3 linked regions of the Danio rerio genome follow. The protein of the gene in region 1 purifies or fractionates together with the protein of each later gene. This does not show direct contact. Links are inferred from orthologs where the notes say so. Each region holds a gene or a part of one and is shown on either strand. Other genes may lie near its edges.

What was found.
Region 2: the proteins of rab11bb (region 1) and rab11fip1a purify together in Homo sapiens (affinity purification with mass spectrometry; 3 studies listed by BioGRID and IntAct, counting the BioPlex papers as one, with this or other methods). This does not show direct contact. The link is inferred for Danio rerio from reciprocal best matches to the Homo sapiens genes RAB11B and RAB11FIP1.
Region 3: the proteins of rab11bb (region 1) and pi4kb purify together in Homo sapiens (co-immunoprecipitation; 3 studies listed by BioGRID and IntAct, with this or other methods). This does not show direct contact. The link is inferred for Danio rerio from reciprocal best matches to the Homo sapiens genes RAB11B and PI4KB.

Annotation. Positions count from the first base shown.
Region 1 is NC_133177.1:59,786,392-59,790,707, reverse strand, and holds the start of rab11bb (RAB11B, member RAS oncogene family, b), read right to left. Parts: upstream 2,904-4,316; 5' UTR 2,700-2,903; coding exon 2,660-2,699; intron 1-2,659. UniProt on the Homo sapiens protein: The small GTPases Rab are key regulators of intracellular membrane trafficking, from the formation of transport vesicles to their fusion with membranes.
Region 2 is NC_133183.1:44,911,017-44,915,141, forward strand, and holds the start of rab11fip1a (uncharacterized protein rab11fip1a), read right to left. Parts: upstream 2,839-4,125; 5' UTR 2,730-2,838; coding exon 2,386-2,729; intron 1-2,385. UniProt on the Homo sapiens protein: A Rab11 effector protein involved in the endosomal recycling process. Also involved in controlling membrane trafficking along the phagocytic pathway and in phagocytosis. Interaction with RAB14 may function in the process of neurite formation.
Region 3 is NC_133191.1:42,595,811-42,599,469, reverse strand, and holds part of pi4kb (phosphatidylinositol 4-kinase beta), read right to left. Parts: intron 2,905-3,659; coding exon 2,800-2,904; intron 2,713-2,799; coding exon 2,589-2,712; intron 492-2,588; coding exon 226-491; intron 130-225; coding exon 1-129. UniProt on the Homo sapiens protein: Phosphorylates phosphatidylinositol (PI) in the first committed step in the production of the second messenger inositol-1,4,5,-trisphosphate (PIP). May regulate Golgi disintegration/reorganization during mitosis, possibly via its phosphorylation.

The sequences.
Region 1 (4,316 bases):
TGTTTTTATATTACTGTGAGGGTTGGGTTTTGGCTTATGCTAATAAAATACATTTTAATGAGTAATTTATTAAATAATATGAATAGTTCTTGTTACAATTACTGTATTTAAATTAATGTGAGAGGAAGGTTTAGAGGAAGATGTAAATAAAAAACTATTTAATGAGTAAATTAATTAATAATATAAATAATTCTTGTAATATTTACTATTTTTACATTAGCGTGAGGGTTGGGTTTAGGGGTAAATACTAATAAAATACTATTTAATGAGTAAATTAATAAATAATATAAATGATTCTCATTTTAATAACTGCTTTTACATTAGTATGAGGGTTAGTTTTGGGGTTTGGGTAGGGGTAGACATTAATTAAAGACATTTTAACGAGTAATTTAATAAATAATATAAATAATTCTCATTATATTTACTGTTTTTACATTAGTGTGGGGGTTGGGTTCAGGGGTGGATGTTAATTAAATGCTATTTAATGGATGATTTAATAAGTAATATGAATAATTCTCATTATATTTACTGTTTTTACATTAGTGTGAGGGTTGGGTTTTGGGGTAGATGTTAATTAAATGCTATTTAATGGATGATTTAATAAGTAATATGAATAATTCTCATTATATTTACTGTTTTTACATTAGTGTGAGGGTTGGGTTTTGGGGTAGATGTTAATTAAAAGCTATTTAATGGATAATTTAATAAATATTAGGAATAATTATCATCATAAACACTGTTGTTACATTAGTGTGAGGTCTGTGTTTAGCATTGGGGAAGCAGACGTCAATACAAATAAAGGGTAAATTAATAAATTATATGAATAATACTTGCTTTAATTACTGTTTTTACATTACTGTTAAGGTTGGGTTAAGGGGTAGATGTTAATAAAACACAATTTATTTGATAATTTAATAAATAATATGAATATTTTCCTTATATTTACTGTTTTTTACATTGAAGTGAGGGTTGGGTTTGGGGGTAAATACTAATAAAATACATTTTAATGAGTAAATTAATAAATAATATGAATAATTCTCATTATATTTACTGTTTTTACATTAGTGTGAGGGTTGGGTTTTGGGGTAGATGTTAACTAAATGCTATTTAATGGATAATTTAATAAATAATATATATAATTCTAGTTATAATTACTGTTTTTACATTAGTATGAGGCTTGGGTTTTGAGGTAGAAGTTAATAAAATACTATTTATGGGTAATTTAATGAATATTATAAATAATTCTTGTTATATTTACTGGTTTTATATTAATGTGAGGGCTGTGTTTAGGGGTAGACGTTATTAAAATATTTAATGAGTAAATTAATAAATAATATAAATAATTCTCATTTTAATAACTGCTTTTACATTAGTATGAGGGTTAGTTTTGGGGTTTGGGTAGAGGTAGATGTTAATAAAATACATTTTAATGGGTAATTTAATAAATAATTCTTGTTATATTTACTGTTTTTACATTGGTGTGAGAGGTAGGTTTATGGGTAGGCACTAATAAAATACAATTTAATGAGTAAATTAATAAATAATATGGATAATTCTCGTCATATTTAATGTTTTACATTAGTGTAAGGCCTGGGTTTGGGGGTAAATGTTAATAAAATACAATTTAATGAGTAAATTAATAAATAATATACGCAATTCTCGTTATATTTACTGTTTTTACATTAATGTGAGGGCTGTGTTTAGGGGTAGACGTTAATAAAATACTAATTAATGAGTAAATTAATAAATAATATGAATAATTCTCATTTTTTTAATAACTGCTTTTACACTAATATGAGGGTTAGTTTTGGGGTTTGGATAGAGGTAGACGTTAACAAAATACATTTTAATGAGTAATTTCATAAATAATTGTTATATTTACTGCTTTGATATTTCTGTGATGTTTAGGTTAAGCGGTAGATGTTAATAAAATACTATTTAATGAGTAATTTAATAAATAATATGAACAATTCTCATGATAACTACTGTATTTACATTAGTGTGAGGGTTAGGGGTAAATGCTAATTAAATAATATTTAATGACTAATTTAATAGGTAATATGAATACTTCTCGTTATATTTACTGTTTTTACATTGTCGTGAGGGTTGGGTTCAGGGGTAGACGTAAACACAATACATTAAAATGAGTAATTTAATAAACAATATGAATAATTCTCGTTATAACTACTGTATTTACATTAGTGTGAGGGTTAGGAGTAAATGCTAATATTTAATGACAAATTAAATAGGTATTATAAATAATTCTAGTTATAATTACTGTTTTACATTGTCGTGAGGGTTGGGTTCAGGGGTAGACGTTAACACAATGAAATTCAATCAGTAATTTAATAAACAAAATAAATAATTCTCGTTAACTTCCGGTCGCAGCTGTATCCCTTCTAGCCGGTGTAAAGGCATCCAAGCAGATGTTTTACAGATCGATACATGAGTATTGAGGTATTGATGCCTCTGCGGGCGTTTCTATGTCAAACACTGTTATTTGTATATGTGTGTGGCATCATTTTACACAGGATGCCATTGCAAAAGACGCTTCCTCAACAGTGCCTATTCCCCAACAGGCTCCGATCTGTGTCAGACACATGCTACAGTAGCAACAATAGATGGATTATGAATGATTCTGACTGTATGCAGAATTTACCTTTGAACAAGAAATCGTATTCATCGTCTCTGTTGGCCATTTTAGACAAGCCGCCGCGTCCTGCAGTTCTTCCAGAAGGAGATGATCAGATGAGTTTGTGTTGATTAGCTCAGTGTAGAAAGAAAAGAGTCAAATAAAGGATAAAAGCGTACAATGCGCCACCGCCGCCGCCGCCGCTGCTGCTGTCACACCGCAGGAAGAGCGATCTGCTCGGGCTGCATTGGGGAGGAGTCCCGCTGAATAGAACCACAGCGGCCGGTAGGGGGCGCCACATTAGGACAAAAATGATTCATTGGATTCACAATATTTTTAATAAGTGGTTGCAAACTATTTATAAGGGCTAAATGTAAACAAATAAACTAAGTTGAACATAATTTAATTAGTTTGTTAACTTCAGCCCTTATAATTGTTTGCAAAGACCTTACCTTAAAAAAAATTAGCAAATCATAAATCAGTTTTTTCAGTGCTCACACACTGCTCTCAGATCAGCAATATTATTCTTTAGAAATCTGTTCCTGTTTTTATAAGCTATTGTAACTTTTTATCACATGTCTGGAACAAACTCGCAATCCTGAGTTATTAAGTGAGAATTATGAGTTATGAAGTGATTTTCTGACTTCATATTTCAGAATTTGGACTTTATATTTCAGAATTCTGACTTTATTAGGAAAAATTATGACTTTATAACGCAGAATTCTGACTTTATATCTCAGATCTATGAATTTATATCTCTGTGTTTTGACTTTATATCTCAGAATGGTGACTATAATGCAGAATTATGACTTTATAATGCAGAATTATGAATTTATATCTCAGAATTATGACTTTATATCTCAGAATTATGACTTTATAATGCAGAATTATGACTATAATGCAGAATTATGACTTTATAATGCAGAATTATGACTATAATGCAGAATTATGACTTTATAATGCAGAATTAGGACTATAATGCAGAATTATGACTTTATAATGCAGAATTATGACTTTATATCTCAGAATTATGACTTCATTATGTAGAATTATGATTTTATATATCAGAATTATGACTTTATGATGCAAAATTATGACTTTATATCTCAGAATTATGACTATTTTGCAGAATTATGAATTTATAATGCAGAATTATGACTATAATGCAGAATTATGACTTTATATTGCAGAATTATGACTTTATAATGCAGAATTATGACTATAATGCAGAATTATGACTTTATATTGCAGAATTATGACTTTATAATGCAGAATTATGACTATAATGCAGAATTATGACTTTATAATGCAGAATTATGACTATATCTCAGAAGTATGACTTTATAATGCAGAATTATGACTTTATAATGCAGAATTATGACTTTACATCTCTGAATTATGACTTTATAATGCAGAATTATGACTATATAATGCAGAATTATGACTTTATAATGCAGAATTATGACTACATCTCTGAATTATGACTTTATATATCAGAATTGTGACTTTATATCTCTGAATTATGACTTTATATATCAGAATTGTGACTTTATATCTCTGAATTATGACTTTATAATGCAGAATTATGACTTTATAACTCAGAACTATAGCTTTATAATAATATTATTGACCTTAAAATGTTTTTTAAAATATTAAAAACTGCTTTTATTCTAGCCGAATCAAA
Region 2 (4,125 bases), on another chromosome or scaffold:
TCAGGTCAAAATATGATTCAGAATGATCCTAAATGCAATTTCCCTGATTTCAAATCAAAAAGATGTAAAACAACAAAGGTATGCAAATGTTATGAACAATAAATAAGTGGTCTTGTTGTGACATCTAGTGGTTAGAAATGGTAAGTGACAGTTAAAAGTCTGTGTTATAGTGGCTAAAATGATAGAATATTGAAAATATGTGTTTTTAAGACATTTAAACATCCAATATGGGCAAGAAAAATTAACTTGTACATCATTTCAGTGATAGGTGTGTATATGAAGCACATTTACTGCATTTTTAAGCCATTTTATGATGTTTTTAGAACCATTTCTACTATTATAGCGCCACCTATTGCCCGATCACCACAAAATTTTGCATGTTAATTCGCATTGATATGCCACATGTGCTCATTAATTTCTGTGATGTTTTGGGTTTTTCTTATTGGTTTACAGGCATGTAGGTTCGTGTAGACACGCCCCTTTTGTAAATGAGCCTGTTACAGCTATCTAAAATGGAAAGTTCAACATTTTTTTGATAATTATTGATCTACTCAGTCCAGAGGTTCATTTAACACTGGTTTCGTTGTGATTGAGCTAAAAACCAGGGACTAGTTCGCAAAAGTATGTTTTGTTTATATTGATGGTTTTTTAATGAACGGTGTGAGTGACAGCAGTGGCTTTAGTGTCAAACTGTTCGGTATGAGCAGACCTATCACATGATATGTAGATTAAGTGTATTTGTGAAATAGTGTTTAAATGAAGCACATTTACTTTATTTTTAAGCCATTTGGCATGTTTTTAAGACTATTTTTGCTATTATAGCGCCACCTATGGTTTGATCTTCACAAAATTTTGCAAGTTTCTTCTCATTGATATGGCACATGTGCTCACCAATTTCTGTGATGTTGTGAGTTTTCCTTATTGGTTTACAGGCATGTAGGTCCGTGTGGACACGCCCCTTTTGTAAATTAGCCTGTTACAGCTAGCCAAAGTAAAAAGTTCAACTTTTTTTTGATAATTATTGATCTACACAGTCCAGAGATTCCACCAACACTGGTTTCGTTGCGATTGAGTGAAAAACCAGGGACTAGTTCGCAAAAGTAGGTTTTTCATATGTTGATGAATATTTAATGAACAGTGCGAGTGACAGCAGTGATTTTAGTGTCAAACTGTTCGGTATAAGCAGGCCTATCATATGATATGTATTTTCTGTGGTTTTGCAAAAGGTTGTGTGATACACAACTCATTACACCTTAAAATTGTGTAAAATCGCCCCCTAGTGGCCGATTTCTTTCAAAATTCTTACAGACCTCTAGGACAGTGAGTCGAACATGCCCAGCGAGTTTCGTTACGATCACTGATCGTTAACCTTGTTAAATGGCTGCTCAATATTTATTGGCTAATGGCGGCCATGTTTTTTGAGATGTGCCAATGTCCTTATAATGATTCATGGCAAACTGATCAAAGACACTGCATGCCAAATTTCAAGTTGATCGGACTAACGGTTGTAAGGTTAGAGTCATTTTATGGTTTTTAAGCTTTATAGCGCCACAGTGTGGCCAAAGTCTACTGTTTTTGCACTGTGACCTGAAATTGAGCTTATACATGTGTGTACCAAGTTTGGTGATGATATCTCATTCCGTTCAAAAGTTATAGCCACAATTAGCATTTAGCTTCAATTAGCATTGAACATTGTTGTGTACTGTTTCGAGTGAGAATAAAAATGTCAACTTTTTTTTGATAATTATTGATATTCAGTGTCTAGAGAACATTTGAGAGCTGGTTTGGTTTAGATTGAGTGAAAAACCTAGGACTAGTTCGCAAAAATAGGTTTCGGACAAATTGCGATGTAGCGGGAAAACGGTGCGCCGTAGAGCAAAAAGTGCAGCTGTGCACTTTTGTTCGGGTTAACCCAAGGATTCAAAATATGTAAAGTTTTTGAGTCTACGACAAACGGTAAACAAATAACGGCCAAAAATGTCCAAAAAGTGGGTTTTTGGCGCCATAGCGCCACCTATGGTCCGATTTGGCTGATCTTTGGTGAGAACGTAGTGTACCGGGGTACTACCTTCTGGCCAAGTTTCAGCTCTCTCGGCCTTACGGTTTGGCCTGGGCAATAGTGACTTCGGCAGAATAATAATAATAATAAAAATCCTAACAAATACAATAGGGTTTCAGCGCTACGCGCTTGACCCCCTAATAATAATATGCCGTGCTAAAAGGGCGGAGTATTAAAACTTTTCCATGCAGAATCATAGACCAAAACTAGCTATGGTTAACTCATCGGCAGTTTATTAATTAAACTTTTGAGTCAGTGGCATATTTTATGACACTCAGATAATGTCATATCTACATTATTTCCGTATAAGACAGAACGGCACTCACTCGGTTTTCTTGCGTGATCTGTTGGCGTGGAGGTCCACTAAATTGATGACAGCCTGCCCCAAAAACTTGTCTAGCCCCACCAGGGCACGGTGCATGGCGATGATGTACAGCGTGCATCGTTCCACGTCCCCCTGATGTACCAGCGGCAAGTCGAACGTCGCTTCCTCCTTCCATTCCGGTGAGACGCATTTCTCCGCTACCGAGGTGGAAAACTTGTCCTTGCCCACCTGCATGATGGCATAGGCGTCGTTCGTTCCATTTTTGCCCTTGATACGTAAGTTTCGTGCTTTGAGCACGGTTACCTGAACGCTGGTGGGATACCACTGCTGGTCACCCAAAGACATGTTTAAATACAAGTTCAAACGGGACTAAAATTGCTCTTTGTAAGTACGTCCCTGCTTGATGTTTGCCGTGTGTCCGGCGTCGTTCAAAGCTACTGTGTGTAACTGTTCTGTTTGGGAGATCTCACAAGTCCCGCCCTTTACGCATGACGCACAGTGTGTACCCAGCGCTCAGGTGATGCAGGTATCACACCATTCTTCAAGTTAAGCTATTACAGAAGAGCTTATGATGGTTTATTTTAGAATTCCGGGTTAATGCTACTTTAAACAATGTGTCTGTACCGCTTTTACTCTTTGGCCCTAATTTCAGTATTATTTTAACCTCAAAAAGTTAACAGTAAACGATGGTTGATTGAATATGTCAACGAGTTCGACAACAGAAAACCAATCAGACACTAGCATAGCATTCATTGACTATTCATGCACGTTTCGCAGTCACAAAATACCTTAAAACCTCAGTGGAGTTTACCTTCATGGATATTTAAAAATGTTCTATGTTTAAGCACGGTTACCTGAACGCTTATTGGATTTTCAATATGTAACCCCTATTTACTTCCTCGGGTCAAATGAACCACATAAAGTATATTTAGCAAGATGACAACAGAACAAGGGAGCGTGAGTAATTATTATGAAGCCGATTATTCATCCTCCCTCAGATCAGTCTGCTCCAGGCACTAGAGAAACAGTATCCTTAGTAGTTTACAAGCGTGATGTTCATTCCTTTGTCCTACGTGACAGTATTTGTTCCGCCCAGTCACTACAATACAGCACTCTGATAGGATAAATTACGTGTCAGTCGAATAACAACTAACTTTGAATTGGTTTAAACTCTTGTGAAGGATGTGAATTTGCATTTCACATGGAAACAGAGGTTACGTAATTGTCAGACGCAAATCGTTGGGCTGGGATTTTTTTTTTTTCATTTAGATAGATACAGGCCTGTAGCCTGGTGAAGTTAGTGGTTCTTTTTTTTTTTTTTTTTCAAACATAGACCTTTTTGCAGTAACTTTCAATGTAGTTATTAAATTTAAATACTGCATTTTAGTGACATTTTAAGCACTAATTTTTAGCTGAATTCACTTGTTGGATGGTGGTCATTATAACCACACTTTTTGATGTACCAAATATTTCCTAAAGATTTAGAATAAATAAATGTGATAAAATACTTATTTTTTAAAATTATAAATTTATTACATCATATATCATTAGAAAAAAAAGGAATCTGTTAAAGTTTTACATTAAAAACTGTAGCTTATTGTCATTTATGAGACAAATAAACTGGCCAGCACATTCAACCTTCCTCAGTCAGAATTTAGCCATTTCAAAACAAGAAAATATTAAATTATTTATAATAAAAGTTACTTGTAAAATGTTTTTTTTTTCTATTTAAAAACAATAC
Region 3 (3,659 bases), on another chromosome or scaffold:
ACAAATTCACTGGTTAGTTTAAAGGCTGATGTCTCGAAGCCTAGGTTTCGTGGAGAGCTGGAAAGGATGAAGCCAAAATCGATGTGAATGATGTGGCCTTCAGAGTCCAGCAAGATATTTCCGTTGTGCCTGAAAACCAGAGAAAAACAATGCTGTTTATAACAGCTTATCCAAATCATTCAGTTCCTGTTCAAGCATGATTTTACTGGCCGTGGTTTCTCTCACCGGTCTTTGACCTGCAGCAGATAGCAGATGAGACAATATCCTGCGCAGCTCTGAACAAAGTTGCGCTGAGCTGTAAGGAATTCTTCTGTGTTGAAGTTGCCGTGTTCTTGCCGGAAGTAATCGAGCAGTAAAAGCTGACTCTGTTTCTTTACCTGGTGAATGGACACAGCATTGACCACTGGTTCAATCATGCCACTGTCTGAAGAGATGACCAAGATCTTGTAGGGTTTGATCCATAAGGGAACCCGCTCCTGCTCCCAGATAATCTGGAAAACAAAGAAATGTTTAGATCATCCAGTAGATCTACAATGTCTGAGCACAAAAACTTGTAAAAATACTGACCATTAAAAAGTTTGGAATGAATTCTGCAGGAAAGTGGTCAACATTTTATTCAACAATGAAGCATTAACTTGATTAAATGTAATAGTGGCTACATCCGAAACTGCCTACTACTCAGTAGGTATTGCATTTAAATTTAAATGAATGGAACTCGGACGTACAACATCCACCATTTTGTCACATCATGTGACCTACCCACATCAGTTGCGTCGCTTTACTCCCATTCATGAATTCTCTCGCGGTGCATCATGGGATAGCATGGCATCTATCTGATGCACACTTCAGAATCTTGTCGGAAGTTAGGGTTGGGCAATGTCTAATGTGAAACATCGCGATGGACGATGACATCGTCATCATAGGTGGCGGTGAATTAATTATTTATGAATAATTAATTAATGATTTGTAGCCTACCATTTCAACTACCTGAACCACATGGTCTTTGTTTTACCCAAAAGTCATAAATTAAGATAAGTTACACACAAATTACCACCTGTCCATCACTTTTTCCACAGGACTCTGGCATGAATAGACAGAGTGATCTGTGTCATTATAATGTCGTCGACAAATTTGGTTGGTAAAAAAGGTGCACAACCAACAGTTTCTGAGGTTTTCGCTAAAATTACAAAGTACAAGCATGAAAGCGAACGAAGATTAGTTAAATCTCAGGTTTAATAACTATTGCGAGACGCCATCCAGCAGTACATCATTGAATAACTGTCCAACAAGCACTGAACTCTAGGGTTTTGTGATTAAAGCATCCCATACTGACTGCGTGGAGCTCTGATGTGCGCATGCCAGAGTGTGTATAAGTGTGTGGCCACGTGATGCGTGTTTTCAGCGGTAAAGTGTGGATGGAGAGCTGTTTAGATATGCTAGGTAAAAGACAGTGTGGACGTGGTTTGTTTTCATTCTAAAATGCCATTTTAAACTAAGACATATTAGTGTAAACAGGGCCTGAGTGTGTATTTTTGCAAGCAGGTTGCTGCTGTGATGGGGGCCGGGTGAAGGATTGCGATGCGGGCACTTGGAGTTGGACGATGACATCGTCTATTGACCCAATCCTACCGGACGTAGTAGGTCAACCGGGTACTTCTCGCTCACTGTATATCTAATTCTATGAATTCGGTCATACTACTCGGCTTGCATACTGTTTTTAGCGTACTATATAGTATGAAAGTATGCAATTTCAGATACAGCCAGTATGTTTTTTAAAATCTAAAAATAAATGTATCAATAATTTCCACAAAACAAATAAAATTATTAAATCAGCAACTCAACTGCTGCACAACTTAAGTTTTTTGTTTTATTTAATTTTTTCTGATGGATCATATAATCAATGAAAAAAATTTCAGCACTTCCACAACAGAAATACAATACATTTTAGAATGGAAATGATTAAATTGTAAAAACAATTTCTGTTTTTATTAAATATGTTCGGCATTTGTGAGCATAAAACATCAATAAAACATCTGAGTGAACCAAAACTTCTGAAGCATAAATGTTTTAAACTCATTATATAAATGAATCTTAGATTAAATCTTAACAATTGGACTCTGGTAAAACTAAACTGATAAAACTGCAAACTTTACTAATGGTTATAACCACTTTTGTTTAAAGAATAAAATAAAAATCTAAAATTCTGTCAAATATGTATTATTAAAAAATTATTAATTAATTGAAATGCCTTAAAGCAAGGGTGTTAAAGTCAGTTCCTGGAGGGCCGCAGCCTTGCACAGTTTAGTTCCAGCCCTGCTCCAACACGCTTACCTGTAGGTTTCAAACAAGCCTGAATGACTGAATTAGTTGGATCAGGTGTGTTTAATAAGGGTTGGAACTAAACTGTGTTGAGCTGTGGAACTGACTTTGACGCCTGTGGTTTAAAGCATGAACAAGTAGATTTTATTTCAACACAATTTAAAAAAGGGAAAGTAAGCGAGCACAATAAAACACTAGCAGTGATATATACATTTTGTATATTTTAAAATCCAATCCCAAATTGTAAGACAAAATTTAAGGAGTGCAACCTGCAGTTGTTTCAGCACTTGATAGGCGAGAAGCTCCTGTCTTAGGTCATCGCCACATTTCACAATTACAGAAAGTAGACGCCAGTTGGGCAGGTGGCCATAGGGGGAGCCCTCCCTGATCCGCCTATTCAAAAGCACAGGACAAATGAAATCAAACACAACTAATGAACCAATAAACAACCGATCCTTTCAGAGAAAGACATGCACATACCTCACTTTCTCCTGCCATGGCTCCTTTAAGGCTACAGCTGAAGGATCCTCTGGGTCCTTCCTAAATGTGGTCGGCGTGTGGGCGAGTTGCTCAGACAGGCGTCGTCTAAAATACAAAAACATTAGTTATAAAAGTATTGTCTTTCTTATTGTTCACCGTTATGATTAAGATTCATTCACACAAAGCACAAGAATAAATTAAACAATAAATTAAAATGCTAAAATGCTAAATTAAACAATAAATATATTTGTGTCCACACTGAATGATAAAAACCTGTTTATTTTTAGTCTATGCTTTTTATTCGGCATTACCCCCTTGTAACCAGCAGATGTCTTCAGTGCGCATCTAACCAGTGAATCTGTATTTAAAAATTGATTCATCTAATTAAACACATGTAGCACTCGTGGTCAGTGAAGTGAAATAAAAACATCGAGCTATTTTCCCTAGCATTTTCAAAGGAGTCAACAAAAAGATCCTGAAACTAGCATCTACAATTACTGAAACTAAAATTAGCCTGGCTTGCAAAACTTCAATGTCTTTTTTTCATTCTTAAGCATGGTACAACCGACTGTTTTCTAGATAGTCATTATCTTTAAATGATCTTTGAAAAAAAGGCTTAACGTCCAGCTGAGCTTCTCCACAATGTTGTCTGGATCTTTAAATTGTGGAAGCCCTTTATATTTCTATGAATTCTGACTGACTGTCAGTGTTTTATCATTTATTAGTGGAGAAAAAAAAATTCTGAAAGTGATCCACAATGATATCATTTCTCTGCATCTTTATCGTTATAGTTGTAGTCTGCTGTTGTTTTACATTCAGAATGTTTCTATATCATCATCATAACCTTAAAGGGTTAAACA